5 linked regions of the Callithrix jacchus genome follow. Each later gene encodes a partner of the first gene's protein in a complex. Links are inferred from orthologs where the notes say so. Each region holds a gene or a part of one and is shown in the gene's direction. Other genes may lie near its edges. The genes, in order: NCF2, CYBB, RAC1, CYBA and RAC2.

Region 1 (6,080 bases):
ACACAGTAAGTTCAAATGATAGTGAAATCATCTGTGTGTGTTTTTAGAGAAGACCACTCATGCTGAATTTAGACAAAGGCTTGAAAAATAACAAACCTTTACAAAAGTAAACAGATTGTAATTGCTTTTTAAAGATTTTTTTAAAAACATACAAATACTAAATGTTTATTGTAGAAGGCTCAGACATATGGAAAGGTTAAAAAGATAGTAGCCATAGTCCCACCACCCAGAGATGTTACTACTTTTGGGCCTTCCTATATTGTTACAGAGTTCCCTTTTGTTTTTTAAGAATGAAATTTTATAACCTGCTTTTTCAGCAGTATGCAATGTACATGAGCTTTCCTTTGCATTAAGTTTATTTCTATAGCATTTTTAACAGCTGTATATGGATAAGCTGCAGTGTATACATAATTAATGTTTTGTTATATATTTAGACTGTTTTTTTCTTGTTGTAAACCACTGAAATGAATATTTTTTGGTAAATTTTTGATTACTCGCTTTCAATAAATGCATAGCCATGAATTATTGAATCAAAGAATGCACTTTTTTTAAGGCTTTTGATATATGTGGTATTGCCAAATTGCCCTTCAGAACAGTTGTGCAACTTACATTCTCTGCAGTCTTTTACTAATTCTTAAGAACCTATTTTTACGTATTTATTTAAAATGATGTCCATAGCATCAACCGCATTGTCCATAGCTATCATGCATCCTAGGAGCTTCAAGAATCTCAATTGAATAGTAGTAAGTAATAACTTAGGTAAATGCATAATAATTATCTAGGCAACATCATGGGGAAAATTTCTTTGATTTTTTTTACAAGTCGTAAATAATGTCATTGAAATTTCATTTTTACCACCTTTTGCTTTTATGTGGGAGGTTATAATTCTGGATGCAAAGATGCTTTCCTAACTCTGATAATTGCATAATCTTTAAACCAAAGATAACAGTGGGTGGTAGAAACATTCTGTGAAGTCCTGACCAGTAGGAATGCTGGAGGTATCACATTATGTTGAATAGAAGGAGAAACGAATTGTTGAAAAGGTCAGCTAAGTGTTCCCTTTGCTTGGCCGGATAGGTAAGAAAATAACTGCTTTTGAAGCAGGCTTTTGCCAAGTAAAAAGATCATTACTAATGAACATCACTATCTTTCATATTTATAGTCAATTCATATAAATTACAGCCAGTTTTCTTTTAAGAAAAGTTGGTTTATTAAAATTTTAAAATAAAAAAGTTTTTAAAAAACATTACTTCTGAAGGATAGTTCAAGGTAGAACTTCAAATCCGCTTCCTTGTTTTATTGGGATTTTTTTTTTTCTCTTTGTGGCAAGAGTCTCACTCTGTTGTCCAGGTGGAGTGCAGTGGTGCAATCTCGGCTCACTGCAACCTCCGCCTCTTGGGTTTAAGCGTTCCTCCTGCTTCAGCCTGGGATTATAGGAGCATGCCACCATGCCCAGCTAATTTTTTTTTTTTTTTATTAGAGACGGGATTTTGCCATGTTGGCCAGACTGGTCTCGAACTTCTGACCTCAGGTGATCCCCGTCTCGGCCTTCCAAAGTGCTGGGATTACAGGAGTGAGCCACCATGCCTGGCTGTCTTATGGGGATTTTTTTTTTTTTAAGCTCAAGACATAAAATGTTTTCATGAATTGTTTTCATGAATCACCCTGATCTGTTAGCAAATCCTCTCAGCTCTTCGTTCAATTATGTCAATAGTCTATCTAGTTTTTAACCACCTTCACTGCTACTTTGCTCACCACATCCAGCCTGTATTATTGCAGTTACCTCCTAGTTGCTCTTCTGCTTCTACCTTGTCCCCTACTCCCACAGCTTATTCCCTGTAGCATAGATGCCAAAGCGAACCTGTTAAAATGTGAGTCAGATTATGGCACTGCTCTTAAACCCCTCCAATGTCTTCTCATTTCTCTCAGTAAAAGCCAAAGTCCTTACAATGCCTGTAGGCCTTACACAGTCTGTCCTCCCACAGCCTCTGACTTGCTCACCGGCTTTTCTCCAACAAATCCACTCCAACCACATTGGGTTTTTTTTCTATTCCTAGAACACACTGAACACACACTAATAGCGCTAGTCTTTTCTCTGTCTGAAACACTTTCCTCAGTTATCCCAACCTTTCCTCTTTCACGCCCTTCAGGTTCTTACTCAAATGTCACCTTCTTAATGTGGCCTTTCTAAAATTGTAAACCCTCCTCATACACATATGTCTAAATGTTCTGTTATTTATTTACCCACCAGGACCGGGCAGGCAGCATTGTCTTGAAGGTGCTCATCTCTTTTAAAGCTAATGATATTGAAAAGGCAGTTCAATCTCTGGACAAGAATGGTGTGGATCTCCTAATGAAGTATATTTATAAAGGATTTGAGAGCCCCTCTGATAATAGCAGTGCTATGTTACTGCAGTGGCATGAAAAGGTAAGTTATGAATTATAAATCTATATGACTGGTTCTTTTACAGTAGGGAATGACAGTGACAACCTCTTTCACCTAAATAACCATTTTGACTTGGTTGTACATTTTTGTTACTGCAAATAAAATGCATGAAAATTATAGTTCATATTTATGTTTACTAGGCTTAGTCTTAAGAGATTCTGATTCCAATACTTGGGTTTATTCAGCAGTGATTATTAGTAATTAAACATAATCTTGAACTTTGAATTAAATCAAAACTTTGTAAAAGGAAATAATAAAAATCAAGAATTCTTTCACAGGGACCAAAAGGTGAAAACAAGCCAAGAGTCATCAACAGACAAACAGCTAAATTGTGGTACATACAGTGGAATATGATCCAACCATAAAAATGATTGACACTCTGACACATGCTGTAACATGGGTGAACCTTGAAAACATACCAAGCGAAATGAGCCAAACACAAAAGAACAAATCTTCTAATTTTATTTATATGAAATAATCTACGATAGGCAACACAAAAGGACAGAAAGTCCTTAGAGGTTACCAGGAAGTAGGGAAAGCAAGGAAAGGAGAGTTAGTGCTTAATGGGTACAGAGTTCCTGCTTGGAGTGGTAAAAAATGTTTTGGAAACAGTTCATGGTGATAGCTACAGTACATTGTGAATGTAATTAATGCCACTGGATTTTACTTTTAAAGATGGTTAAAATAGCAAATTTTGTGTTATATGTTTTACAACTTTATTTTTTAAAGAATTAGGGGTTTGGAGGATTAAGAATTCTTAAATCATTTTTTTCTATTTTCACACGTGTATTTGGCAGTGTAGTTGCCTGTACACCATCTGTCAAAAAAAAGGAGTAGAAGGGATTTTGAACTTTGGGTAAAAAATTGAATAACATTTAAATAGAACCAACCATAAAAATATTCAGTGTTTGAAGTGTATGAGTGAAAACACACACGTAAGAAAAAAGTACATAGTAAAACTTGTTTATCCTTGGTCGAGTCACCTTATCCCTCATACACTATCAAAAAGAACTCCCATTTATGGATAGGGTAACCATTCCTCACAGTTTTCCCAGTATAGCCCCAATTTATGCCTGTTGTCCCATCATAACTATAAATAGTTACCCCTTTTACTCTAAAATATACCAGTTTGGATAGTAATTTATATGGCATCCTATTCATGGAACACTTTGTGTTGCTAGGCAACATATTATTTATGTTTTATTTCATCTTTACAACAACCCCGTGAAATATATAAATACCTTTATCCTCAATTTACAGATGAAGAGCCAGCTTTAAAACCCAGGCAGTTTAGTTCTAGTATAGCCTCAGGATTGTAGTGCACATTCATTGAGCACTTAGTATATTCCAGATACTCTTCCAAAGACTTTCTAAATATTAACTCATTTAATCCTCATAAAAATGGAGGGGAAACCTTGATATTATTCTTCTTTGGTAGCTGAGGAAACTGAGACATGTGTTATCTTCATTTCTTCCAAATGTCAGTCACCAGTTTTTACCAGTCTTCTAAGTATTTTTGAAATCTGTCTGTTCAAGTTTATCTAATGCAACTGTTCACAGCTTCTCTCCCAGTCTGTTGCCATAGGTTCCTGACTGGTTTCCCAGCTACCAGTTTTGTCTCCCTCAAATCTGTTCTCCACCCAGCCATCAGAATGATTTCTTTAAAATCAAAATTGCTCTTGTCAGTCACCTGCAGGATAAAGTCAGAGTTCCCAAGTCTAGCCTCATCTTCCATGTCATTCTTCCCTTCAGACTATAGCAGTGCCAGCCTTTTTCCTGAACACACCATATCGTTTCACACCTCTATACATTTGCTCATGATTTTCTGGTGTTAGCTTGTCACCTACTCATTGTTTTAATGTGTCATTTCCTCCAGGAAGCCTTAGCTGAAACATTCCTCTATACTGTTAATCTGGGTATATGCCTCTCCCTGGTACTTTAATAACACCCAAAGTACAACTCTCTTTTCATACATAAGATTAAAATTATATGTTTATAGGTCTGTCTCCTCGTGCTAGACTGGAAAATGCTGTATTTGTTCACTTTTATATCCCCAGCATCTGCCACAGAATACAGAGTTATTCCATAAGTATTTTTTGAACAGAGATAAACCAGAGCTCAGATCCCTAATACTTGATCATTACTTTCCATTTTTCAACTTAGAGTCAGAGTTAAAGTTTCTAAGTTCTTCGCTATTAAGCAATACCTTCTTTCTTTGGGAGAAAACAATTTGACAGAGGCTCCAGTTGAAGTACAAGTTGGGATGGGTTATCCCAGTTTGAATATTCTTCTGGCTATATGGTGAGAATGAGAGATTTGGAATTTCCACCTGTTTTGAGCAGGAACATTATGCTGCAGATTTTTTTAAACATTATTTAGAATTAATACAGAAGAATGTAAACTAGTGTCTCACTAGAATGTAGGCTCATAAGGGCAGGGACTTTTAAGGTTTTGTTTATTACTGTAACCCCAGTGTCAAGAACAGTACCGGGTATGTAATTGGTGCTTAAGAATTTATTATTTGCTAAATAATAAATTCAAGGTCTATAGCCATGCCCATTCCTTCTTCAAGAAAAATGTTTTACTTATGAGAATTGATCCTTTATGATTCTGTCAACATTTACATCTTGGTTTGTTTGTAGGCACTTGCTGCTGGAGGAGTAGGGTCCATTGTTCGTGTCTTGACTGCAAGAAAAACCGTGTAGTCTGGCAGGAAGTGGATATCTGCCTCGGGAGTGGGAATTGCTGGTACAAAGACCAAAACAACCAAATGCCACCGCTGCCCTGTGGGTAGCATCTGTTTCTCTCAGCTTTGCCTTCTTGCTTCCTTTTTCATATCTGTAAAGAAGAAAATTACATATCAGTTTTCCTTCAATGAAAATTGGGATAATATTGAAGAAATTATGTTACAATAGAAGTGTTTCATCCTCTCAAAACCATTTCAGTGATGTTTATACCAATCTGTATATAGTATAATTTACATTCAAGTTTAATTGTGCAATTTTTAACCCTTATTGGCTGGTTTTTTGTTTTGTTTTGTATTATTTTTAATTAATACTGAGAGATTTAGTCAGAATTTGAGGCCAGTTTCCTAGCTCATTGCTAGTCAGGAAATGATATTTATAAAAAAAAATATGAGACTGGCAGCTATTAACATTGCAAAACTGGACCATACTTCCCTTATTTAAGCAAAATATGTTTTTGGAATAAGTGGTGGGTGACTACCACTACCAAGCTGTAGCTCTGTCTTTGCTTGCCTCCAGATCATCTGTACTGTGGGTTTAAGTATGCTACTTTCCCTCAGCATCCAATAAGCATGGCCTCTCAGTTTCTTTGTGGTCACCCAGGGTTTAGAGCAAGAAGTCTTGCTCTATACAAATGTATCTATAAAATATCAGAGCTTGTTGGACATAAACATCAAACTTTTGTTCCAGTAATATGGCTCTGCTTGGAAAAACTGCAAATCAGAAAGAATGTGGAAACTGATGTAATTCACACTCCGGGCAGTCTCTGAATGAAATGCTACTTTCCTTAGAAATATAAAACTGCCTTAGACATTATGAGGTATATGTGTAAGTATTTAAGATACCATTTAATAGGCCCCATAAATGTCTTCAGTGATCTTCAGGGTAAT
Region 2 (5,619 bases), on another chromosome or scaffold:
TGTGTTGTCCTGCCCAGCTAGGAGGCAGTCTAGTCACTATTTGCCTGCCGAGGCTCCGCCCTGCTGGTGTGAGTTTCGCCCTGTTGCTGCAGTCTCTGCCCTTCTGCTGCGGTCTCTGCCCTGCTGCCACAGGCTACGCCCTGCGGCGGAGTCTCTCTGTTGTAGCGGGTTGCCTCGGCAACGGCAGGCTGCATCAGCAATGGGCGTGTACCTCAGTAGGGGCGGATTGCCTCGGTAATGGCGGACGCCCCTCCCACACGGAGCTGCTCCCTCAGGGAACCTCTTTACCGGGAGTGTTTGGAATCGCTGTTTTGTTTGTCCCACTGTGCTACCCCAGACGCTGTGTCCCTGGAATCTCCTGGGCTGGCTTACTGTCCAAGTCCCATTCGGTCTCAAGTTCAGCCCTCTAAAGTCTCAGGTTGCTGGTTCAACAGGGCCCCCGGACCAGTGCACTTTGTGCGGAGCACTGTATAGCGCCGCTGTGCTACAGCACGGGCCACCACCGCACCGGCTGGTGGCTGCTGGCTGCTGGCTGCACCAGCCAAAACCTCTGCCTGGCGTCCCGCATCTCTTTTATACCTGGGAATTTCCCCGTTCTGTGGGCAACAAAGATCCGTCTGGAAATGCGGCCCTGACTTACCCTCTCCGCGCATTCGAGAGCTTCAATCCTGGGTTGTTCTCACAGCACCATCTTGAGTCCTCTCTCATCTTTTCTTCCTATGTATTCTGAAGACACTGTCATTTATGTTCCTTGATGTCTACTCAACATTGTGCCTTCCTCTATCACCAATAATTGTCTTATGTTTTGATAGTTGCTCATCTAACATTTATTGAATTGAAATTGATGGGCTCTGAGCACTTCAAGGTACACACTATTATTGTTGATGTCAGTGAGAATGGCATAAGCCCTATAATGTTAAGTATCTCAAACTGGTCTCAAAATGTTGGTTTAATTTAGATAATTTCTGAACCCACAAATAAGGCACTTCTGGTAACCTTCAGGGCTACTGTGTATGATTGTCTGGGTCATCCACTATAGTGAGTGCCAAAGACGATAAAGTTAGCCCACACTTTGATGATTGAGCCCTGTGCTAGTAGGACTATCCTTATAGAAAGTGTACCTTTTTCTAATTTGCATAAAGGCACTGTATGGACCAGCAGTCACTCTGTTAGATTTGCAATTTTTCTGCTTTTATTTGTTTGTAAATGAAAATGATACTTGAGACAGAAGTATAAATTCTCCCTTTAAGAGAACATATATTAATGATCCAAGACTTACCCTCTGTAATGTTACATGTAAATATCCCTTTGGTAATTGAACATATGTCTTTTTCTATTGCTGCATATTATACATTTTCTTTCCTTTAATCTATTCAGAGGGAGCAATAAGCTATCACTTTTAAGTGAGAAGTACAGGACCTACATCAGAGCACTGAAAACATGTCTAGAATCTTTTAATAAAACAGTTTAATTTCCTATTACTAAATGGTCTGGACTTACATTTTTCTCCCAGACGAATTGTACGTGGGCAGACAGCAAAGAGTTTGAAAGAGCACAATCCAATGGAGTGTGAAAACAAAATCTCAGAATGGGGAAAAATACAGAAATGCCCAATCCCTCAGTTTGCTGGGAACCCTCCTATGGTATGTACAGTTCATTGTTGTTATTACAGTTCATTACTGACAATCCTTTACCTGTGCCTAAGAAACATGTACAGATGTTATACATCTACATAGATGTCCATTACAAATGTCATGGAACAGCTAAAACATGTGTCTACTTTTCTCTGCTATACTTATTGGATATAACTCTTTCTTGAAAAATAAGCTTTGCATTGTTTTGTTATCAACATCCTGATATAAAACTTGGAAAAATAGTGTTTTTAAAAGTGCTATTTTGGTCAAGAGGTTCTATCTCTTTTCTTCATGACAACACCAGCTAATGATTTTTAGGGGACACTAGGGATTCCATCTTGAGCTGAGTTGAATAGCTCAAGTAAATCATTTATAAGGAGTAAGGGGCTTCTTGAGATACCAGCACATGATACTTTCTGTACAGCTTTCAGATTTAAAAAGGAAATTGATGAGGTGGCACATAAGGCTACCTTTAGGCATTAGGAGTTTTCTGTTTATGAGGCATAAAGGAGGCTAAACAGCCAGGTTCATATGAACACTCAATGGCATCATGTGGTAGGCAGAAATGCGGCAAATGACCAAGGAAATGCATGATGAATACTTTCTTTGCTCTATTGGGAGCTCTGAAGGGCTCCATTTTGTTTATTCTCATATCGCTGTTCCATGGAGTAAGATATGGGCCTTGTAATCATCATATCATTCTGCCCATTGGCAGACAGTATACTTTGTTGGTTATTATGCTAGCCGTTGGTATAAAACTAGGCAAAAATCAACATTTGTGCAGAGCTTCTGAAGAGGATTATTTTTTTTCCTGAAGCACAGTACAACATGAAGGGAAATATCCCATTCTATTTATCTTTTCTTTTTTCCTACTCTCTTAGCATAGGATTACTCTTTCTCTAGACACAGCATACTATCTGAGGACTTAATATCTTTAAGCATCCTATCCCATTAACGAAAGCAACCAGACAAATCAGTGAATTGGCTCCACTACATGCAGACATCAATAGAAAGGATAAAAAAGGGAACTGTATTGCCAGTCCTCTTGTGGGCAGGGGAAGGCACATTCCTTGATGACAGCTAGAGTCAGAGTACTAGCACCTTAACAGAAACCTACCTCAAAGAGTTTCTAGAGATACTAGCAGCAATATCCAAATCTGGCTCCATTCAGTAGGGCTCCATAGTAGCACCCAGGAAACAGATGGATGATTTGAGACTGTTTTAAATATCTATCCCATCAAAACAAAGGCCAACAGCAGAACTCTGTTTATATTATTCTTCAACTTTGGCTGAAGATGGGGAGATTCAGGTGCTCTCAATTTCCAAGAGTAAGTTTCCTGTAAAAGTAATTTCATAGAAAGATTATATGTGAGATGATGGGAAGCACTCTGTTTTTTTCTGTTAGAATACATCCCAGAAAGTCATCTTTTAGATAATTTTGCCTTCTAAAATTCTTTGCTACTTTAGGTATTAAACCAGATATCCAGCTGGCTGCATCTCAGGATGGATCTGTTTGGCCTCAATGTTTTTGTACCCCCAACAATGTTACAGAGTAATTCCAGTGTTCTGAAACACTGCACGTTCTGACCCAAGAGATACCTAAAGTCTGAAAAGCTCTGGGTTTGTCTCCATTCAGCAAGTGCATTGCATACTCCAAGAATTTATCAGAATATTGCAGAAACAGCCAAACTCTTGCATAAAATCTGTCATCTTTCAAATTTGTCACTGTGACTACATAGCTAAGAGAAAGCAATCACAATGTTGCATTAAAAATATTGTGTTGCTGAGTTATCCTTTAGAGAAATGTTAATTCTGAAACCAACCTTGCTTTGTTATAGGGTTATTGCAACTGTAGTTGCAACACTGAGGGGAAATCCCACTCTTGTGAGCAGTTCCTCTTGGGAAAGTTTTATATTGTCAGTACAGTTCCCCAATGTGACTAAGGGGAATGTTTACTTTTACTGGATCAAAATTATCTTAGTTTCAGATATTTTCATATATTCCATTAGAGAAAAATTTATTTATCTAATGTCAAATATTTAAGCAAGCCTACAAAGATTAACTTGACTTCTGAAATTTTTCCCCTCTGAATATTTTGTTATCTATTACCACTTTATGTATCTCATTTTAATTTTTGCTCTGATTACAGACTTGGAAATGGATTGTAGGTCCCATGTTTCTGTATCTCTGTGAGAGATTGGTGCGGTTTTGGCGATCTCAACAGAAGGTGGTCATCACCAAGGTATTGATTGATTTAGTAATTACTAGTGGTCAGCGTGTAACTATATCATGGACAAGTCTATCCAACTTTTCTATAGCATTGATCAGAGTAGTCTTTTACTCAGTTTATTTTAATTAAAGTTACAGCAAAGAGAAGACCTACAATTTATTTCAATTTACTTAACTCAATAGTCAAATGTTTGTGTCTTTAACTGGGGAAACTACAAGTTACCATTTTCGATGTTAAAATGAAGCTAAGTTGTTTGTGTGCATAAATCTCCCCCACTCACCGTGTGTGTGTGTGTGTGTGTGTGTGTGTGTGTGTGTGTAGGGGAAAGGCACAGAGGCATTATTTGGTTAGTTAAGAGCAGAAAAGAAAAAGAAGTGAGTTTAAAGGGGCATAAATTGAGTCTTAAAATTTTCCGATGCCAAAAGGTTGAGATGGTTTTCCCGATTATCTACCACCTTTTCTGTGCTGTATATGTAATAATCTATATGAAAGTCGAAGTGCCCCAAATTTCAGACAAGTTAGTAACTAAGCTGCCTCTCAAATTTGATCTCCTGTTTCCAAGTCTAGAGTGGCTTTTCCTGAAGGCTAATCTGTTTCTTATCACAAAATAAATAAATATACAACTAAATAAATGTAAATGGAACTCTTTGTTATAATTTTAGGAAACATCAAGAAAGTATATCTTTAGCAAATAAAATTTAATTCAATTCAGCTCAGTTCAAAAGGTATTTGCCAAAACCCTACCATGGGTTATCTTTGCAAAACACACAAATTCTTCCTGTCCTCCACCCTATCTTTCCTCATTTGCTGGATTTGGAAGTCTTGAAACATAGGGAACCACAACAGTTCTCCTTTTCTGACATTTATATTGTACTATAAGAATAATCCCACAAATCAGCAAAAAAAAGTTGCTGCAAAATTTCCCTTACTAGACTATAGGTGACTGAACCAGACAAGTATTTTTCTTAAACTTTTAAGGAAAACTTGTTTTCCTGTGAAGAAAATAGATATTCATTTTCTTCCCATATAAATAAGTATGAGAAACAAGATGTTATCCAAAAGTATTCCAATGAGAATGCTGTCCCCTTATTTACTTACATCTTATCTGTGTCTATGATAGCAAAATTGCAATATGGTAAAAATTGTTTCCACCACACAAAATTACAACATGGTAAACAATTTTCAACATAATTTTAATTTTCTGTTTTCAAAATGAAGCTTTACAAATCCTTATTTCAGAGCAGAAGGGAAGTTGGTTTTAGCTTTAACGTGTAAGATGCATTTAAATCACAAGTTCTGGAAACATTTGACAATTAAAAAAAAAATAGTTTCCCACTCTTCCACAACTCCCTGTTTGAGAAAAGCCCAGCAATATCAGTTAACATTTGGAAGCTGCTATGCTATTTTATTTCTACTGATTTTTCTTTCTTTTGATGTCCCTTGGTTTGTCTTTAGTTATACATATAAAGTTCCTTCTAGAAGTCTTAGGAATCACTAAATAAACAGTATATTACATTTTTATTGCCCTTCATTATGTTCTGTTTTTTTAAAAAATTATCCACTCAATAGTTGGTGGACATTTGTATTGGTTCCTGGTTTTTGCTATTATGAATAAAGCTGTTATAAACATGTATGTGCATCGACAAATGAGGATGGCAATGGGTGTGTGGAATACATGTTGTACTCCCCAGGTAGGGAGAAATGTAGAAGTAATGCATGGAATCAGGCAGATTCAAGGTGTGATTCAAGACAAAG
Region 3 (6,353 bases), on another chromosome or scaffold:
TGAGGCAGGAGAAGAATCACTTGAACCTGGGAGGTGGAGGTTGCAGTGAGCTGATCAGACTATTGCACTCCAGCCTGGGAGACGAGAGGGAAACTATGCATCCAAAAAGAAAAAGTTCCAACAGCTCACTGGGCAACATGGAGAAACTCCATCTCTATAAAAAAATAGAAAAATTAGCTAGGTGTGGTGGCACCCACCTGTAATCCCTGCTACTTGGGAGGCCGAGGTGAGAGGATCATTACAGCCCAGGAGTTCGGGACCAGACTGGGCATAATGAGATCCTACCTGTATTTTATTAAAAAAAAAAAAAAAAAGTTACAACTGTGTACAATTTCTTGATTTTGCTTAAAAAACATTCTTTAGGTCCGAGTCACAGCACACACACAAAAAAGTTCTTTATGTATATCAAGAGATAACTAAGAGGAAAAGAGGAAATATACCAAAATATTTGCACTTTCACCGTCTAACAGCCATTATCTCCAGAACTTGGTACAAAGCAGAAAGCACAGCACTAAATGAGCTAAAAACAAGTAACAGAAAATGCATATGCGACAAACGAGAACATGCAACACATTTTTGTTTTTGAGAAGTCTTGCTGTGTTGCCCAGTCTGGAGTGCACCGGCAAGATCTCGGCTCAGTACAACCTCCACCTCCTGGGTTCAAGCGATTCTCATGCCTCAGCCTCCCGAGTAGCTGGGACTAAAATTAGCCGCCACCATGCCCAGCTAATTTTTTGTATTTTTAGTAGAGACGGGGATTTGCCATGTTGGCCAGGCTGATCTCGAACTCCAGACTTCAAGTGATCTGCCCGGGGCTTCCCAAATTGTTGGGATTTCAGGCGTGAGCCACCGGGCCCTGCCAGCAACAGTTTTTGTTTTTTGTTTTTGTTTTTTTTTGGCTGAATGGACATTGTTATTGCCAAATAAAGGTATGGTGTATGATTTTAGACTTCCTTATAGTTTTAGAATCCGAATTTTCTAGAAGGATCTAATGTAATCGCAGATAGTTATCAGATAAAGAATGAAACAGGAGGAATCAATGCCTTCTGATGGCCTCAAGCAGGTGTTAGCAACAGGGAGCTTGGCTCCTGCAACCACAGGTTCCTCTTTTTTTTTTTTTTTTTTAAGATGGAATCTCAATCTGTAGCCCAGGCTGGAGTTCAGTAGCACGATTTCAGCTCACTGCAACCTCCGCCTCCCAGGTTCAAGCCATTCTCTGCCTCAGCCTCCTGAGTAGCTGGGATTACAGGCACCTGCCACCACGCCCGGCTAATTTTTTTTTTGAGACGAAGTTTCGCTCCTGTTTAGCGTGCAATGGGGCGGTCTCAGCTCACCACAACTTCCGCCTCCTGGGTTCAAGCGATACCCATGCCTCAGCCTCCCAAGTAGCTGGGATTACACGCATGTGCCATCACGCCCGGCTAATTTTGTATTTTTAGTAGAGACGGGGTTTCTCCATGTTGGTCAGGCTGGTCTCGAACTCCCTATCTCGGGCCACCAGCCCGCCTCGCCCTCCCATCCGTATTTTCGGGCCTCCCGCCCGCCTAGGCCTCCCATGCCTATCTCGGGCCTCACAAAGTGCTGGGATTACAGGCATGAGCCACCGCGCCCGGCCTAATTTTTGTATTTTTTTTAGTAGGGACGGGTTTTCACCAGCGTTCGTTTCTTCCCGGACGCTGGTCTCGAAATGCTGACCTTGTAATCCACTTCGGCCTTCCAAAGTGTCAGGTTTACAGGCATGAGCAACCGCGCCCAGCTACTACAGGTTTTTCTTTCCTTTTTTTAAGACGGAGTTTCGCTCTTGTTACCCAGGCTGGAGTGCAAATGGCGCGATCTCGGCTCACCGCAACCTCCGCCTCCTGGGTTCAGGCAATTCTGCCCCAGCCTCATGAGTAACTGGGATTACAGGCACACGCCACCATGCCCAGCTAATTTTTTTGTATTTGTAGTAGAGACGGGGTTTCACCTTGTTGACCAGGATGGTCTCGATCTCTTGACCTCGTGATCCACCCGTCTCGGCCTCCCAAAGTGCTGTGATTACAGGCTTGAGCCACCGCGCACTGAACCCCAGAGAAAGGACCCGCAGATCCCGCCACGCCTATGCCGCGTTAGCGCGCAAAGATGGCAGCCGCCGCGCCCCGTGGGCGGAGACAAGCGGGCCCGAGCACTTCCGAGCGTTCCTGAAGCCCAGAGGAACTCCGGGAACCGCGCGGGCGGGAGCTGCCCCACCCGGAACCTGGGAGCGGCGGCGCCGGCGCGGGGGAGGGGAGGCCGGATGTGAGTGGAGCGGCCATTTCCTGTTTCTCTGCAGTTTTCCCCAGCTTTGGGTGGTGGCCGCTGCCGGGCTTCGGCTTCCAGTCCGCGGAGGGCGAGGCGGCGTGGACAGCGGCCCCGGCATCCAGCGCCCTGCCGTCCTCAAGCCGCGCGCCCGTCCGCCGCGCCCCGAGCCCGCCGCTTCCCGTTTCAGCGCCGTGCCGCTGCCGCCGCGGCCCAGCGAGCGGCCCAGATGCAGGCCATCAAGTGTGTGGTGGTGGGAGACGGGTAAGTGCGTTGCCGGGTCTGGGCTGGGGGCCGCGGGGGCGGGCGCGGGCCGGGGTGGGCGCGGGCGGGGGGCGGGCCGGGATTGGGGCCCAGGCAGGCCGGGATCCCTGGCGGGCTCGCGTAGGCGGTGGGCCTGGGCCTGTGGGGCACGGGGCGGGGGCCGCGGGCGCCGGCTGCCCGGGCGGCGCGTGCCTGGTTCCGGCTCTCGCTGGGGGAGGGCTTCGCCACTCGCCGGCCGGTGGAAAAAGTGAACTCCACCCTCCGGCTTTCTTCCCGGACGCCGCCCGCCGCCCGCCGCCCTCCCCGGGAGCCCTCGTAGAGGAAGCGCTCTTGGAGATTTTTACCGTTTTTCCAAAAAGGGACCCTCTCTTGTTTTTTTGCTTGAACCTCTCGATCCCTGGACCTCGAGAGCTGTGTTGGGAACCCGGCGGTTGAGTCGATCATATTTGATGCGTGCCCGATTGAACTGGCCGCTTTAGTGCCCCAAAGTTTTCTTTAAAAATTTTTTTTTTTTTTTTGCAGAGACGGAGTCTCGCTGTGTTGCCCAAGCTGGTCTTGAACTCCTCCTGGGTTCAAGCGATTCTCCCATCCCAGCCTCTCAAAATGCTGGGATTACAGGCGCCTACGCCTGGCTAATTTTTAAAACTTTTTGTAGAAATGGGGTCTCACTGTATTTCCCAGGCTGGTTTCGAATTCCTGGCTGGGATCAGGCGAACCTCCTGCCTGTCAGCCTCCAAAAGCGCTGGGTTGACACCGCGCCCGGCCCCCAAACTGATTTTTGAGCAGGTTTTTTCGACTTACACTTCTGCCACTGTTAGGATTCCTAAAATTAATGCTTTCTCCCTTTCCGAGGATAAAGTTTTTAAGATGCTCCCTGGCAGGAGCCATCTGTGATGGGGACTGTTCTTTTATCTTTCTTTATTTTATTTTATTTTTTTAAACGTGGTGTGGTCATTGAAAAAAAAAAAAAACTTTCTTGCTTAACGCGTTGGGTATGGGATGTAGCAGAACTGGCTCCTGTGACTCCAGGCGTTGCTTTTCATGACTGTCCGTGTTGGTTACAGGCCCTCGAGAAGGACAAGACTTGTTTTATGCCGTTTTTTTCTCCCATAGAAACAAAAATCTCAGTGTAACCCGAGCAAAATCGCGCGTCTCAGGCGTCGCTTGTATAGGTTAGTGTTAGCAAGGAAGAATTACTAACAGTTTCGTCAAACTCAGAATGCAACTGGTACATGTTCGAGTAAAGTCGAAGGAAAGTTAGGGCATCAAGGTTAACTTGGTTGATATTCTTCGAATTTGTCATTAGGTTTTGGTTTTATGCCTCTACGTCAATTCATGGATTCTCAGTGTATTTAGATAATTATACTGTTAAGACATTTGCAATTGTTTCAGTTATCCTTCTTGCAATTCAGATGCAAGAGGATAATTAGACAACTGATTTTTGTGAGAGGCCCATCTGTCGGATTTGTCTTGCAAGTGTGAAGGATTATTAACGCCTCATAATTTTATGTTTATATGATAACTAAAAATTGTAACTTTCAGTTAGAGTACGTATGCTGTTCAAGCTTTTTTTTTTTTTTTGACTCGGAGTCTCACTCCGTTGTCCAGGCTAGAGTGCAGCAGTGTGATCTCTGCTCACTGCACCCTCTGCCTCCCAGGTTAAAGTGGTCCTCCTGCCTCGGCCCCCCTAGCAGCTGGGATTACAGGCACGTGCCACCATGCTTGGCCGGTTTTTGTAATTTTAGTAGAGATGGGGTTTCGCCATATTGGCCAGGCTGGTTTTGACCTCCTGACCTTGTGATCCTCCTGCCTCAGCCTCCCAAAGTGCTGGGATTACAGGCATGAGCCATTGTGCCTGGCTGGGCTTTACTTTTTTATTTGGGAAAAGTGTTCAGTCAATTGATTGATAGTGACATCAGTGAATTGTTTCATTTAAAAAAAAATTTTCGAGACAGGGTCTCTCAGTGTTACACAGGTTGGAGTGCAGTTGTGCCATCTTGGCTCACTGCAACCTCCACTTCACCCGCTCAAGCGATTCTTAGCCTCCCGAGTAGCTGGGATTACAGGTGCCTGCCACCACGACTGGCTAGTTTTTGTATTTTTAGTAGAGATGAGGTTTCACCATGTTGGCCAGGGTGATTTTGAATTCCTGACTCAAGTGATCTGCCTGCCTTATCCTCCCAAAGTGCTGGGATTACAGGAGTGAGCCATGGCACCTGGCCCACCTTTTCTTAAGAACATTTAACATTATTTGGATTTCCTTTAAGCTAAAAACGCTGAATCAAGTTTTTTTTTTTTTGTTTGTTTGTTTGTTTTTTTTTTTGAGATGGGGTCTCAGTCTGTTGCCCAGGCTGGAGTGTGATAGTGTGATCTCGGCTCACTGCCACCTCCATCTCCTGAGTTCAAGCGATTCTCCTGCCTTAGCCTCCTGTGTAGGTGGTGTTACGGGCGCGTGCTACCACCCAGCTAATTTTTTGTATTTTTAGTAGAGATGAGGTTTCACCATGTTGTCCAGGCTGGTCTTGAACTCCTGACCTCAGGTGATCTGTCCACTTTGGCCTAGGATGACAGGCCAAAGTGCTAGGATGATAGGGATGAGCCACTGTGCCTGGCTGACCATATTATTATTATTACTATTTTTTGAGACAGGGTCTCACTCTGTTGCCTGGGCTGGAGTGCAGTGGTGCAGTCTCTGCTTGCTGCAACCTCTGCCTCCCGGGTTCAAGCGAGTCTTGTGTCTCAGCTTCCTGAGTGACTGTGATTACAGGTGCCTGTCACCATGCCCAGCTAATTTTTATTGTATTTTTTGTTAGAGATGGAGTTTCACCATGTTGGCCAGGCTGGTCTCAAACTCCTGACCTCGCGTGATCTGCCCACCTCAGCCTTTTTTTTTTTTTTTTAATCATATTGCTGATAATTATTTGAACATTTCTAAAGCTAAAACATAAGCATAGCACATACATTTATTTAATACTAACAGATTATAGACCTCTGTTTGAATTGGCTGTTTTGTCTAGTCAAATAACTTGTTGAAGGCCTATCATGGAATGTGGATCCTCCCTTCAAATCCCCACCCCACCACTTATATGGGATAACCCTGAGCACATCACCCACCCCGGCAAGAGAGGCGCCTCAGCAGAAGGTCAAAAAGACTAAACTAGATGTTGATCATTAACTACCTTGCAGGTGCTCCTTGCTGAGTGCTTAGTAAGTGCCAGGTATTATTGCTTTGGTTTCACTACTGTGAGGCTCTGCGAAGGGAGTATTAGGCTTAAAAGCCTGTGGCCCTGAGTTTTCAGTCTTTTTTTTTTTTTTTAATTACAAGTGTTTGAGCAAGCACAGTCTATTTTTTAATACTATGTTTACTATTGATGCTGATTAGCGCTAAGTGATATTACAAGTGAAATATACCTGTCTAGGTCAGGTGGCTCACAACTGTAATCCCAGCACTTTGGGAGGCCAAGGCCGGTGGATCACTAGAGCCCAGAAGTTCGAGACCAACCTGGGCAACATGATGAGACCCCCCCCCCAATTTCTACTGAAAATATAAAAATTAGCAAAGTGTAGAGGCATGAGCCTGTAGTCACAGCTACTCAGGAGGCTGAGGTGGGAGCATCACTTGAAACTCAGGAGGCGGAGGTTGTAGTGAGCTGAGATCGTGCCATTGTACTCCAGCTTGGGTGACAGAGTGAGATCCCGTCTAAAAAAAACACAACAAAAACTGTTAGAGATACACCTTCGGCTTGACTGGGTGGCTGAAGCCAGTAATCCCAGCACTTTGGGAGGTGGAGGCAAGCGGATCACCTGAGGTC
Region 4 (6,356 bases), on another chromosome or scaffold:
GGACAAGGTGGTGGGCACCTATAGTCCTAGCTTCTCCAGAAGCTGAGGCAGGAGAATTGCTTGAACTTGGGAGGTAGAGGTTGCAGTGAGCCAAGGTCATGCCACTGCACTCCAGCCTGGGCAACGGAGTGAGACTCCGTCTCGAGAGCATAGGATCCCGCATCCCATGGGTGGAGACATTCACAGGGTTGTGAAGCCACCTCCTTCACTTTTCCATCCCTGTCTCCATAGCAGCCACCTGCCATCTCCCCTCCCTGGGCCCTGCCAGCTAGGAATACCTTCCTGTCTCTGGCCTTGCCTGTCCTAGACGCTTAGAGAAATGCACATGTGTACCATGCCCCTGCCCTGCTTTTCCAGGTTTCTGAGGGGGCTGCAGGTGAGGCCAGCCTCTCTCCCCGCTGAACTTAAGGCTGCGCTGGCCATGGAGCCGACTCCTGGTGGGGTCAAGTACATCATCGCCACTCAGGTGAGGCCCAGTACCCTGTGGGGTTTCCTTTCCTGCCAGAGGGGCCCGCCCAGGCTCAGCCCTGCTCCCTGTCCCTACCGTGTTTCAGGCCAGAATGCCTTTGGCACTTGCATTTCATTCATTTGCTCTCAAACAGGAGGCTGCAGGCCACTAGCGAGGCCAGAGCAGCAGGACTGGGCCAGGCTGGGGTGGAAGGATGAGTCTGATGCAGGCTCCCAGGGAGACAGGAGGGGAGTGCCTGGGATGGGTGCTGCTGGGGCTCCCCCCACCCCAACTGGCCCAGTAGACCAGGACTCCTGCTTCTGACCTGCTCAGGGGGCCAAGCCCTTGTCAGCGATCACACCCGCCCGAGCCATTGCCTTCAACTTCCTCTCAAGGGCCGCGGGCACAGGGCTGTGTGCTTCCAGGCACTGTGGTCCTCTGTCTACCCAGTGACAGGCAGTGCCCCAGGCAGAGGGCCCCCAGCTGGCAGGGGCATCTGTGCCTGCAGGAGCTGGGTGTGGGTGTCACTTGGGTGGCATAGCTTCTGACCAGGACCCACTGCTGCTCTCCTGTGTCCAGCCCCTACACATGCTGGGGCACAGGGCAGTGTGCTGCCATTGCTGGTGACCTGACATGGATCTCTACCTCCAGGTGGGGCCGGGGCCTCAAATCCTGGATGACCCCTACACCCACCTCCTGGGTCCTGATGGCCTGCCGAAGCCAGCTGCCTGACCGCCTCCGCAGGACTGCACGCCACCTGGAGAAGGGGTGTCCTCACCAGAGCTAGAAAGCGGGTGTGGTGGACTGGCTGGACCGCTGGGACTTGTGTGTGGTGGCCTGGCTTCGGGCCCATGGGCAGCGTGCTATGGGGCAGTGCGGGGAGACCTGCGGCTGCCGGATGTCAGGAGAGGCCCCCACCGAGTGCCTCAGCTACACCAGCACTTCGCCAGGATGGATGGGGTTGGGGCATGAAAGCTGGCAGAGCCAGGTGCGGCAGGGCTGAAGGGCTTTCTCACCGCGCTCCGGCCGTTCCCACTGCTCCAAGACGGGAGTTCGGCAGGAAGTTGGCATCCCTCAGGGCCAGGGAAGGGGTCGCTGTGCTGCAGCAGCCACCTTGGGCCTCAGGAAGCCACCAAGTGTCTCCGATGAGACCCCCAGGCCCAGGTGTTACGGGAATGGTGGCAGGAGTGGGCAGCAGCATGGCCCTCGTGGCCGTGGGAATAAAGTGGCATTGCGGCCTCTGTCTCCTGCTGTTTTCCTTCTTTTGTTGTTTAGATTCAGTGAGGTCCTCCTGTTTTCCTGTTTCCTAAACCAGCATTCCTGGGCTCCTGCTCAGAGTGGCCTGGGACTTGCAGGGAGTCCAGGTGTGCCCTGTGAGGGCCTGGGGAGCCAGGTAGAGGCATGGGAGGCTCCCCTGAAACCCCACAGTGCCTCAGGCCGCCCCTAAAGTCTTCCCATGGGCACTGGGCCCACCTCCCACTTATCACCTCTGCTGCCCTCTCCTCACCCTTACACCAACCCTTGCCTCCCATCCGCAGGCTGGACATGACAGGGCAGCTGTCCCTGTCCCCTCCCCCTGAGTCACAGTCACAGTGCAGTGATGGCGAGGGGAGGCCCACAGTGTCAGACTCAGGCCACGCCTGTGCCAGCCTAGAGTCAGGGTGAAGAAATGGGGGCAGGGCCTCAGGCTGCCACGGGGAGGCCACCCTTGGCCCCTGTAGCATCAGGGTGCAGAGGTGTCCTGAGCTGTAGGGGTGGCCCCCAACCCCCAAGGCTCGGGAGAGGCGGATCTGCTCAGGAAGCTGACCCTTCACACCTTTCTCTGCTGTTCCTAGAAGGCTTGTTGACACAGGACAACAAGGACACAGTGGTACTTTGGAAGTCCTGCGCTGGGCAGGGGCACTAGTCAGTGCGGGAGAGCAGAAGCTGGGAAACGCAGACGCCCCGCCTGGCCTGGGGCTGCCACGCTGAGCCCCTCCTGAGCCTCGGTCGCGTCTGGAGAGGGCGAGGGCAGAAGGCTCCGGGACAGCCCCGCACCCTAGAGGCGGGTCTCCGCCCACCCGCGGTCACCTGGGGGGCTGGGGGCGGGGCCGGGGCGGGGCGGGGCGGGACTGGGCCGGGAGCGCAGGGGCGGCAGTGCGCGCCTAGCAGTGTCCCAGCCGGGTCTGCGCAGCCATGGGGCAGATCGAGTGGGCCATGTGGGCCAACGAGCAGGCGCTGGCGTCCGGCCTGAGTGAGTGCGCGGCAGGGGCGGTGGAGGCTGCAGCCTGGGGGTGTCCCGAGACCCCAGCCGGGGACCTCAGACTACTTACCGGGCGGGGAAGTGGGGCACCAGGCGGCTGGGCTGTGATGGGATCAGGCCCGGAGGGTGCGGGGAACGGGGGCTGGAAGGAGGAGTTCCGAGACCCCGAACAGTCCGCTTGCAGACCCAGCGGAGCGGCGCCTCCTCCCCCATTCGCTTCCCTCAGTCCCCGACTCCGCGAAGGAGGAAGTTGCAGCGCAGGGAAAGAGGCGGTTCAGCCCCGGTGGTTTCCGGGGTGATCGCCGCCGCCCCCCCCCCAGGCCCCTGAGTGGGGGCTCTGGCCTGGACATCGGGAGAAGCTCCCCTCCCTTCGGTAGCCAGCTGGGCTGGGGATCAGGCCCCCCTGGGCTTGGGGTGGGAAGGTGGGCTCCTCATGCTGTGGGGCTCAGCCCTCCTCATCTGGAGTCGCCTGGGATTTCACAAGGCACGGAAACCACCGGGTGACCGCCCTGCCCAGCCCAGTCCAACATCCCACCCTGCTGCACATTTGCCCTGATCTGCCCACCCCAGCCTCCCCACCCCCTCCTCCAGCTGCCGGGGCTTCCTTTCTGTTCTGTATGTTCTAAGCATGCCCAGGGCCTTGGCACAAGCTGCTGCCTCTGCAGAGCCTCATGGCTGTCCCATTTCTTTCTCAAATGCCACCTGCTTGGGGAGGTCTCCAGAACGTGGAGCCCCAGGAGGCAGCTGGCCCTGAGAGAGTGGGGCCCTTGACAGAGTCCCTGTACACAGCAGGTGCTCTATAAGTGTGGCTGGGTGCCACAGTATGTCCTCAGGCCTCCCTGGTGGCACCAGCAGCAGCCTTGCACCCTCTTTCGGAGGGCAGGCTCAGGACTGGGACACTTCCCCAAAGATGCACGGATGACAGGCTGAGTGGACTGAAGGACACTGCCCTGCCTTCCTCCAAGGCAGATGGGCAAGGTCAGGGAGTTAATGTGTAGCTGAGCTCAAACCACGGATAGGAAATCTTCAGGGAAGAACAAGGGGTGACAAGAGCAATGCTGGCAGGGTGAGGCGGCCACACCTGTAATCCCAGCACTTCGGGAGGCTGAGGTGGGAGGACTGCTTTAGCCCAGCGGGTTGTGACTGTGACTGTGGCACAATGAGCTGTGTTTGTGCCACTGCACTGCAGTCTGGGTAACAGCAAGATCCTGTCTAGAAAACAGTAAGCAGGGCCAGGCACCATGGCTCACGCCTGTAATCCCCGCACTTTGGGAGGCCAAGGCAGGTGGATCACCTGAGGTCAGGAGTTCAAGACTAGCCTGGCCAATGTGGTGAAACCCCGTTTCTGCTAAAAATACAAAAATTATCCAGGCATGATGGTGCACGCCTGTAGTCCCAGCTCCTGGGAGGCTGAGGCAGGAGAACTGCTGGAACCCAGGAGGTTGCAGTGAGTTGCGATTAGGAGAGCCACTGAACTCCAGCCTGGGTGACAGAGGGAGACTCTGTCCCCCCCCCAAAAAGAAACCAGTAAGAGGGAGTATCAGAAAATAAGCAAAAGAAAGGGGCAGAAATGGCCCCATCAGTCGGAACCAAAAGTAAGACCGACAGCTGCCGGGTTTGGAGAAGCTCTGCGCCAGGGACACTCCCAGATGCAGAAACCACACTGGGCATATAGGCTTTCATGCATCAAACAAAGACACGGTGACAAGTATGTCCATTCGGGGGTCCCAGAGCCCAGGAGCACAGGCCCACTGGTGCCTGCAGGTCAGGCCGTCCCTTGGCCGCTCCTGGGCCTCGGAGCCCAGGCACGTCACACACTCCACTCCGCCAGGCCATGCGCCACCAGCTCTGCTCTTCACCAGCGCAGGGGGCTGCCTCCTGGGGTGTCCCCGACTCTGTCACTGTGCTGTGGGGATCCGTAGGGACAAACACATGGACTGCAGAAGACAGTTCTTGGTGGCCTGGTGGCCCATGGTAGAGAAAGGGGGTGGCCCAGGCCTCCAGGATGGGAGCCACTCAGTGCCTGACCCACTTCTCCCCGCAGTCCTCATCACCGGGGGCATTGTGGCCACTGCCGGGCACTTCACCCAGTGGTACTTTGGAGCCTACTCCATGTATCCTTCCACCTGAGGCGGGGGTGGGCAGGGAATGCCCAGGGCAGAGCCTGGGAGCCACTTCACAGGGAGCACTTTGCTTCCGCTCCCCAGCACTGCAGCCAGGCTGGAAGACAGGGCGGGCTGTCCAGGGGTTGGGCAGCCCAGGCCCCTAGCCTGGGCCATGTGGTGGTCAGTGGCAGACCTGCCAGCCTGAGTCCTAGCGAGGGGTGGGCAGGTGGTGTCCCCTGAGGGCCAGGGCCAGGGCCAGCACTGGGGCCTCCCTAGGACTGCTGGGATCCCCATTAGTCATCCACCTTGGCCAGCCCCTCCACCTCCTCTGCCCCATCTCAGCCCTGCTGCCCTACCAGACCTCCCAACAAGGAGCAATGGGCAGGGTGGTATGAGGGCAGGTGTGGGCCAGCCTCAGGTGCACCTCCTGTGGCTGTTTCCTGCCCTGTGACCTCAGGCAGTGGCTGCCTCACCCCACTTTTTTTTGAGACAGGGTCTCGCTCTGTCCCCTAGGCTAGAGTGCATCGGTGCCATCATGACGCATAGCAGCCTCCACCTGGGCTCAAGCAATCCTCTCACCTCCGCCTCTGGAGTGTCTGGGACCACAGGCGCATGACACCGCACCTGGCTAATTTTTAAATGTTTTGTAGAGATGAGGGCCTCACTATGTTGCCCAGGCTGGTCTCAAACCCCTGGGCTCTAGTAATCCTCCCGCCTCAGCCTCCCACAGTGCTGGGATTCCAAGCGTGAGCCGCCATGCCCGGCCCCTCTTCATGCTGTCTTAGTAAAGAGGGCTCACCGTGTGGCCCCTCAGGCTGAACTGGGCTGTTCCTTAACCACATGGCTTCAGTGTGGCGGGCGTGTTTGTCTGCCTGCTGGAGTACCCCCGCGGAAAGAGGAAGAAGGGTTCCACCATGGAGCGCTGGTGAGTCACCTCCTGCATGCTCTGGGGTCTGTCCCAGGGCTGTGGGGCCCAAGCAGGGCCCACAGGGTCTGGTATGTGGAGTCTGGTTCCTCGCTCGGAGGCTCTGGAACCAACCATTCGGTCCTTGTGGGCAAACCCAGGCCCGTGCCTGCCTGGCATGTTGCCTGGGAGGAAAGAGGCCCGGGTGCCCTGGAGCGGTCCGGAGTGGGAGAGGCCCACCTCACTGTCCCCCTTCCTCCCTCCCACAGTGGGCAGAAGTACATGACCGCCGTGGTGAAGCTGTTCGGGCCCCTCACCAGGAATTACTACATTCGGGCCATCCTGCACCTCCTGTGAGTCCCGCCCCACCCCACCCCACCCCCTCTGGGGCTCAGGACGGCTTGGAGCACTGTCCCACCTGCCGGGCTGCCTGGCCTGGAGCCACTGCCACTTACCTGGACATTTTTCTAAACCAAAATTCGGGTCCCCAGGTGTGTCAGGGCCCCTGGAGCCTGTATCTGCTGTCCAGTGTGTGGGATTCCTAAGGATCCTCCCCAGACCTGAGCAGCTCCGATCACAGCAGAGTGGACTGGGCCCACAGGCCCTGCTGGGGGGTCTTGCCTGGGCTTCCTGGTAGCGTGGAAGTTCCCACGCTGT
Region 5 (6,079 bases), on another chromosome or scaffold:
AACTAGAAATGAATTCTTTAAAAAAATTTTTTATTTGTAATTGACACATAATTGTACATGTTTATGGGGTACGATGTGATGTTTCGATGCATGCATAGCCATATAATGATCAAATCCGGGTAATTCCCACGTCCATCACTTTCAACATGTATCATTTCTCTGCTGCAACAACATCTGAAACCTTCTCTCCCAGCTCTCTCGAAATATTCGCGACGTTGTGATTTGCTCTATTCACCCCACTGTGTGGCAGAACACCAGAACTTACTCTTCCTGTCTCATGGAAGCTCCACGAATGTTCTTTCTCTGTTCCAGGTTCTTTTTTTTTTTTTTCAAGACCGAGTTTCTCTCTTGTTGCCCAGGCTGGAGGGCAATGGCGCGATCTCGGCTCACCGCAACCTCCACCTCCTGGGTTCAGGCAATTCTCCTGCCTCAGCCTCCTGAGTAGCTGGGACTACAGGCACGCGCCACCATGCCCAGCTAATTTTTTGTATTTTTTTAATAGACATGGGGTTTTACCATGTTGACCAGGATGGTCTCGATCTCTTGACCTTGTGATCCACCCTCCTCGGCCTCCCAAAATCTGTTCCAGGTTCTAATTTGGGGTACCGCACTGCATTTAATACGTTATCCTTTTGTTTTTTAAATTAACACGGAGGTTGCCCTAGGGACTAGCAGTGGGTGGAAAAATAAAGGGGCAGTGAAGGAGGAAGCCCCAGGGTGGCCACAGGGAACGCCTGGCGTCTCCCACCCAAGGTCTCAGCACAGCGTATGCAAAGCGCGTTGGAGAGACACTGGTTTGCTGGTAAGTGTCACAGTTGACTTGCCCGGTGCTGGGCAGGCGCTTTAGGAAGTTGTGTTTTCCTCTCTGTAAAAATCAGTGTTGTGAACGCAGTAACTTGTGTGAACTGCTCTGAAAGGGCTCGGCCTCCAGGAGCCTGCTGAGAATCCTGGGCTCTGCCAGCCAGCGGGCCCTGGCCCTCTGCACACTCCTGTGGGATTCCTGGCTTGTCCTGAGGGACGGTCCAGGGTGGATGACCAGTGGCTCTTCCTCTCCCTGCCTCTGTCCCTTCCCCCTGGACCTGGAAAGGCGTGGGGTTGGGGAGTGATCACGACGATCAGTGAACTTGGTGCCAACAGGGGTGATCGAATGTTCTCCCGAGTGTCCTCGGAGAGCCCTCGTGGCTAAGGGAGTTCCCTGAGAGCTGGAGAATGCAGGCTTTGTCCCCTCAAACAGCAGCTGGAGCCAAGAGCTCCAGTTGGAGAAGAGCTTGGAGTAAACTGAGCGTCAGGGTGGTTTCAGGCTAGGTGGTCAAATGACTTCTCAGACCGTCAGTTTTCACATCAGGGAAGTGGGCCACAGTTCCTAGATCCAGAGTGCCTGGTGACCCAGGGCGGCCTCAGGACAGGCTTGGTGCCTGTAGGGCACTGCCTGCCACTTCCCCTCAACATGCCTTTCTCCATCTGTGGACCACACCTTCCCTTCCTGCCTCATCACTCCCCATCCTCCCACACAGGCCCTTCCCTGGCGGAGCCCCTGGGTCCTGGCTCAAGAAATCTCCGTGAACCTGGAGTACCCTCTTTAGAGCAAATGTTTCAAGAGCCAGCTCCAATGCTGCTTGCAGGCCCCCAGCTCTCCCTCTCGGTAACACTGAGGTCCTCTCTGTAGAGTCCCCATTGCCCCAGTCACTTCCTGCCTGCTTTCTAATCTCCCGTGATGAAGTCCTGCCTCCCCCTCTGCAAAGGGTGTAAACTCCAGGGACCAGCTGTCTCTTGTATCCTGGGATCACTAGCACCTGGTAGTATGTCTGGCACACAGTAGGCACTCATTAAATGCTGTGCTTAGAACTGAGGTGTACTTGGAAGCCTCACGTTCTTGGAGAACAGCCTCTGGGCCTGCCCAGTGGTCAGAAATTGAGCCTCCTACCACAGAGGGGAGGCCGGAGGTGGGGGGCTGCAGGGATGGCCAGGGCTCAGCCAGCACCTGAGCGCCCCGCCCACCAGCTGCTCCTCCAAACCGAATGCTCCACCCCCTGCAAACGACCTTGAGGGCAGCAGCTTGGGTAAGTTCCCCTTCCGCTTCCTCCCACCCCACCACTGCTGCTCTTCAGCAGGCGCCTTGCCAGCCTCCACACCCCTTGTGCCTGCAGAAACGCGCCTGGCCCTGAGCTGTCACCACTGACACTGTCCAGGCCCCGGACACGATGCAAGCCATCAAGTGTGTGGTGGTTGGAGATGGGTAGGTGCCTGGCTGGACCTCCTCACAGCCCCCAACTGGGATGCTGTGAGATCCTCCCGCCCTGGTGTCCCTGGGGAAGCCCCTGGCTCTGCAGAATTAGGTGTCCCTGGAAGGCAGCTTGGAGGAGTCGCTTCATTCTTCTCCTAGGGCTCACAGCTAGCACCCCGGGGTGGGCTGAGGACAGCTTCACCCTCTTCAGCCCACCCACCCTGGAAGCCATCTGGGTGGAGGGTGCAGGACTATGGCTGGGAGTGCCCAGGCCCCTTACCTGCACCCCCAAAGCTGGGGGCAGGTCTCCCACGGAGGTGAGCCTCAGCCTTCAACTCTGTGGATGCACCCGCGAAGTGGGAAACCAGAAATTCAGCCTTCGTCCCCAGGCTGACTTGGGCTCTCGTCACTGGTTTGGTGCTGCTGTGTGGCCTTGGGCAAGTCACAGCATGTCTCTGAACCTCAGCCATCTGGGAGGAGGAGGCCTATGCCCTAGGGATGCTGTGGGGTCGCTGGACATAAGCTGAGTGGCTGTCTTGCTTGTAATGTGTGCTCAATAACCACCCCCTGCTGGTACCACCCCCCCCTCTCTCTCCCTTCCCCTCAGCCTGCTGGGTTGGGGAGGATGTGTGGGGGATGTGGGCGAGGAGCAGAAGGGGCAAGGGGACGTTGAGAGACAGAGAGGAGAGGGAGGAGGTGGCCGCAGGATGGGAGGGCGATTGTGGGATCTGCAGGGGAGGGGCAGGCTGGGCTGACACCTTCTCAGTTGTCAGATCCCAGTGACCCCCAGGCTGTCATGTCTCCTGGGGAATCTCGGTTTCCTCATCTGTAAAATGACGAGTCTAGGCCAGGTGCAGTGGCTCATGCCTTTAGCCCTAGCGCTTTGAGAGGCCAAGTGGGGAGAGTTGCTTGAGACCAGCCTAGGCATTCACAATGAGAACCCATGTCTACAGAAACTTTTTTTTATCTTTTTGGCGGGGGGGGGGGGGTCTCACTCTGTCACTCAGGCTAGAGTACAGTGGCGCAGTCTTGGCTACTGTAGCCTCCGCTGCCCAGGTTCAAGCGATTCTCCTGCCTCAGCCTTCTGAGTAGCTGGGATTACAGGTGTATGCCACCACACCTCCCTAACTTTTGTATTTTTAGTAGAGACAGGGTTTCACCATGTTGCTCAGGCGCTGGTCTTGAACTCCTGACCTTGTGATCTGCCTGCCTGGCCTCCCAAAGTGCTGGTATTACAGTCATGAGCCACCAGGCCCGGCCACAAAAACATTTTTAAAAGCTAGGAGTGGTGGCACGCGCCTGTAGTCCCAGCTATCGGGAAGCTAAGGTGGGAGAATCGCCTGAGCCCAGGAGTTTGAGGATGCAGTGAGCTATAGTTGTGCCACGGGGTGACAGAGCAAGACCTGTCTCTTAAAAACACAAAATAAAGGGACAGGTCCCGTTTGTCAATCTGTCGTGCCTGCCAGCAGCCATGTCTTAGGGTCCAACCCACAGGCCCAGCTTGGGGCTTTCTGTAAGTCCATCGCAGCATGTTCTAGCTGGAAGGAGCCTCTTGTCCAGCCCTCCCATGCTACAGAGGAGCAGCCCAAGGCTGTAAGAGACTCAGCTGTCCTGGCCTGGGTCCTGTGGCCCCCACTTTGGCTCTGACTCATCCAGGTGGGGGTGGGCCCGTTTGCCCACCAGCCTCAGCTGATTCTGATACATGGCCGCTTATCTGCCCACGCCGGCCCGGGCCTGTTCACTTCTGCTTTCTATCTGATCTGAAGAGGGGCAGGCGGAAGTCAAGGGTTAACGTCCCAGTCATTCAAAGTTACCTCGGGACAGGCCCCGGGGAGGACTGTGGTAGAGAGGAGAGGATGAGCTGTCTCCTCTGAGCAGGAAGTGACAGAACCAAGCAGGGCAGGGGAAGGCCCAGAGCTGCCCCTTGGTCTCCGGGCTTTGGCTGAGCTACCTGCACCTGCTCCCAGTCTCAAATGCTGGGGGTGGGGGAGGTGCGCAAATAATGACGTTCTCCGATTACCGATCCCTTCCTTCCTAGGTACCAGCTCTGGGGTTAGCCCGGCCTTCTCTATTTGTCCTCTCACCAAACCTAATAGGTTTTTACAGGTGGGAAAATGAATTCAGGGAAGCTATGCAGTTTGCCCAAAGCCTCACAGGATTTGAACCCAGCCCATTCTGACTCAAACCCTGGTCTAGTAACTGCTCTGCTCCATGGGGAGGTGAGAGGGAAGAGCTGGGTCAGGCCTTCCCTAGCAGCCACCGGCTGCTGCCGTGCGTCAGGCCCTGTGCTAGGTGCTTCGATAGGCATCGTTGGATTTATTCCTCAGCACACTCCTATGGGGATGGGCTCATCCTGATTTTCTAGATGGAGAAACTGAGGCAGAGGCAGGTTAAGTGACTCGTCCAGGGTCATGCCACTGAGCTGGGATTTGAAGCCCAGGCCAGGCGTCGGGGCCCCTCGGCATGGCCTGAGTTTGTGGGGTACCCCCTCTGTGTGACATCTCTGGTCCCTGGAGAAACCTGTGGGAAATGCAGATTCCCAGCTCTGCGAACACCTGTGGGTCAGAATCTCTGGGGCTGGACCCTGAAGTCTCCACTTTAACAAACACGCACAGGACCTGCAGGCTCTCAGGTGTGAGAACACAGACATGGGGTGTCTCAGACAGGGAGACAGGGCCCAGAGGGCTAGGCTGGGTGGATGCTGAGGTCTTCGCAGAGGATGGGGCAGAAACCTCCCCATGTCTCCAGCAGAGCCCATGATCGCCGCCCTCTTGCACTTCCTGTCTTTCAGGGCCGTGGGCAAGACCTGCCTTCTCATCAGCTACACCACCAACGCCTTCCCTGGAGAGTACATCCCCACCGTGTGAGTTCCTGGGGACACGCAGGTGCTGGGAGGAGGGGAGAGAACGTCACCAAGTCGACCCGCTTTCAGGCACTTCCTGTGGGCCAGACCCTGTGTGGGCACCCGATGGGGTGCCAGAGCCACAGCCTCCAGTGGAGCAGAGCTGCCTGATGGTCCAGCCAAGAAGGCAGCACTGGCACTAAGAAGTGCTGGGGGTGGGGGGGGGGAAGGGGTGGAAAGGGAGGAAGGAAGGAGGCAGTGGCCTTTAGGCTGGGTCTCCAAGCAAAGCGCTGTAGAGGAAACGGCGGGCTTGGGCAGGAGCAGGGGCTGGGAGAGGAGCCTCTGTGGAGGCAGGCTGGGCTCCAGGAGGAGGTGATCCAGAGGGTCTGGCCCCAGGGAGCAGGGACACCTGGGGCCGTGGCATGCTGAGGGGCAGAACAGAGGCATCTGCAGGCCTCAGAGGCCCTGCGCTCTATTGCAGGACGTGGAGGCAGGGCTGTCATTGGACATGGCGGGAGTGTATTGGCGTCAGACTCAGGAGGGACGGATGACTGGGGAGGCACCAGCCCCTCTCCGGCCAGCCCTCAGGGGCCCACGTCACTCCTAGGACATTTCCTTGACTCCCTAGCATGGCACTCAAGGCCCCTGATGGCCTTCACTCAACCTCCTGCCTGGCCTCATCACCCATTACTTGGCTTCAGGCCCTGCCTCCCCTGGACCCTACTGTTCACCACAAGTTCCCTGCACATTCCTACCCCAGGGCCTTTGCTCAAGCTGTTCCTCTCCCCGTAGTGCTTTTTCTCCCCACATCCACCTGCCTAAAGCCTCCATACCCAGCTCCAGTGCCCCCTCCTCCAGGAAGCCTTTCTGATCTATGGTGAAGGGGTCTCCCCTCCCCAGAGAGACTTTATCTGATCTCTCCCATGATCATGAGCCTGTGGGGGACAGGGAGCCACGGCCAGTCCTTTCTGGGTCTCCCCATTGTCTTAGCACAGAACCTTCTATGTGGTATC

The links.
Region 2: NCF2 (region 1) and CYBB share a complex: the UniProt entries of both Homo sapiens proteins name them as parts of the phagocyte NADPH oxidase complex. The link is inferred for Callithrix jacchus from reciprocal best matches to the Homo sapiens genes NCF2 and CYBB.
Region 3: NCF2 (region 1) and RAC1 share a complex: the UniProt entries of both Homo sapiens proteins name them as parts of the phagocyte NADPH oxidase complex. The link is inferred for Callithrix jacchus from reciprocal best matches to the Homo sapiens genes NCF2 and RAC1.
Region 4: NCF2 (region 1) and CYBA share a complex: the UniProt entries of both Homo sapiens proteins name them as parts of the phagocyte NADPH oxidase complex. The link is inferred for Callithrix jacchus from reciprocal best matches to the Homo sapiens genes NCF2 and CYBA.
Region 5: NCF2 (region 1) and RAC2 share a complex: the UniProt entries of both Homo sapiens proteins name them as parts of the phagocyte NADPH oxidase complex. The link is inferred for Callithrix jacchus from reciprocal best matches to the Homo sapiens genes NCF2 and RAC2.

The regions. Positions count from the first base shown.
Region 1 is NC_133519.1:41,800,196-41,806,275, reverse strand, and holds the start of NCF2 (neutrophil cytosol factor 2), read left to right. Parts: upstream 1-2,249; 5' UTR 2,250-2,251; coding exon of another isoform or gene 2,252-2,428; intron 2,429-5,088; coding exon of another isoform or gene 5,089-5,151; exon of another isoform or gene 5,152-6,080. Other genes in the region: ARPC5 (actin-related protein 2/3 complex subunit 5), read left to right, coding at 2,252-2,428, 5,089-5,151. UniProt on the Homo sapiens protein: Subunit of the phagocyte NADPH oxidase complex that mediates the transfer of electrons from cytosolic NADPH to O2 to produce the superoxide anion (O2(-)).
Region 2 is NC_133524.1:38,583,463-38,589,081, forward strand, and holds part of CYBB (NADPH oxidase 2), read left to right. Parts: intron 1-1,513; coding exon 1,514-1,643; intron 1,644-3,783; coding exon 3,784-3,876; intron 3,877-5,619. UniProt on the Homo sapiens protein: Catalytic subunit of the phagocyte NADPH oxidase complex that mediates the transfer of electrons from cytosolic NADPH to O2 to produce the superoxide anion (O2(-)).
Region 3 is NC_133503.1:16,112,295-16,118,647, forward strand, and holds the start of RAC1 (ras-related C3 botulinum toxin substrate 1), read left to right. Parts: upstream 1-2,299; 5' UTR 2,300-2,506; coding exon 2,507-2,541; intron 2,542-6,353. UniProt on the Homo sapiens protein: Plasma membrane-associated small GTPase which cycles between active GTP-bound and inactive GDP-bound states.
Region 4 is NC_133521.1:46,306,381-46,312,736, reverse strand, and holds the start of CYBA (cytochrome b-245 light chain), read left to right. Parts: upstream 1-2,583; 5' UTR 2,584-2,623; coding exon 2,624-2,681; intron 2,682-4,734; coding exon 4,735-4,804; intron 4,805-5,645; coding exon 5,646-5,720; intron 5,721-5,968; coding exon 5,969-6,052; intron 6,053-6,356. Other genes in the region: MVD (diphosphomevalonate decarboxylase), read left to right, coding at 358-466, 1,100-1,180. UniProt on the Homo sapiens protein: Subunit of NADPH oxidase complexes that is required for the NADPH oxidase activity that generates, in various cell types, superoxide from molecular oxygen utilizing NADPH as an electron donor.
Region 5 is NC_133502.1:208,154,162-208,160,240, reverse strand, and holds the start of RAC2 (ras-related C3 botulinum toxin substrate 2), read left to right. Parts: upstream 1-2,090; 5' UTR 2,091-2,201; coding exon 2,202-2,236; intron 2,237-5,015; coding exon 5,016-5,087; intron 5,088-6,079. UniProt on the Homo sapiens protein: Plasma membrane-associated small GTPase which cycles between an active GTP-bound and inactive GDP-bound state.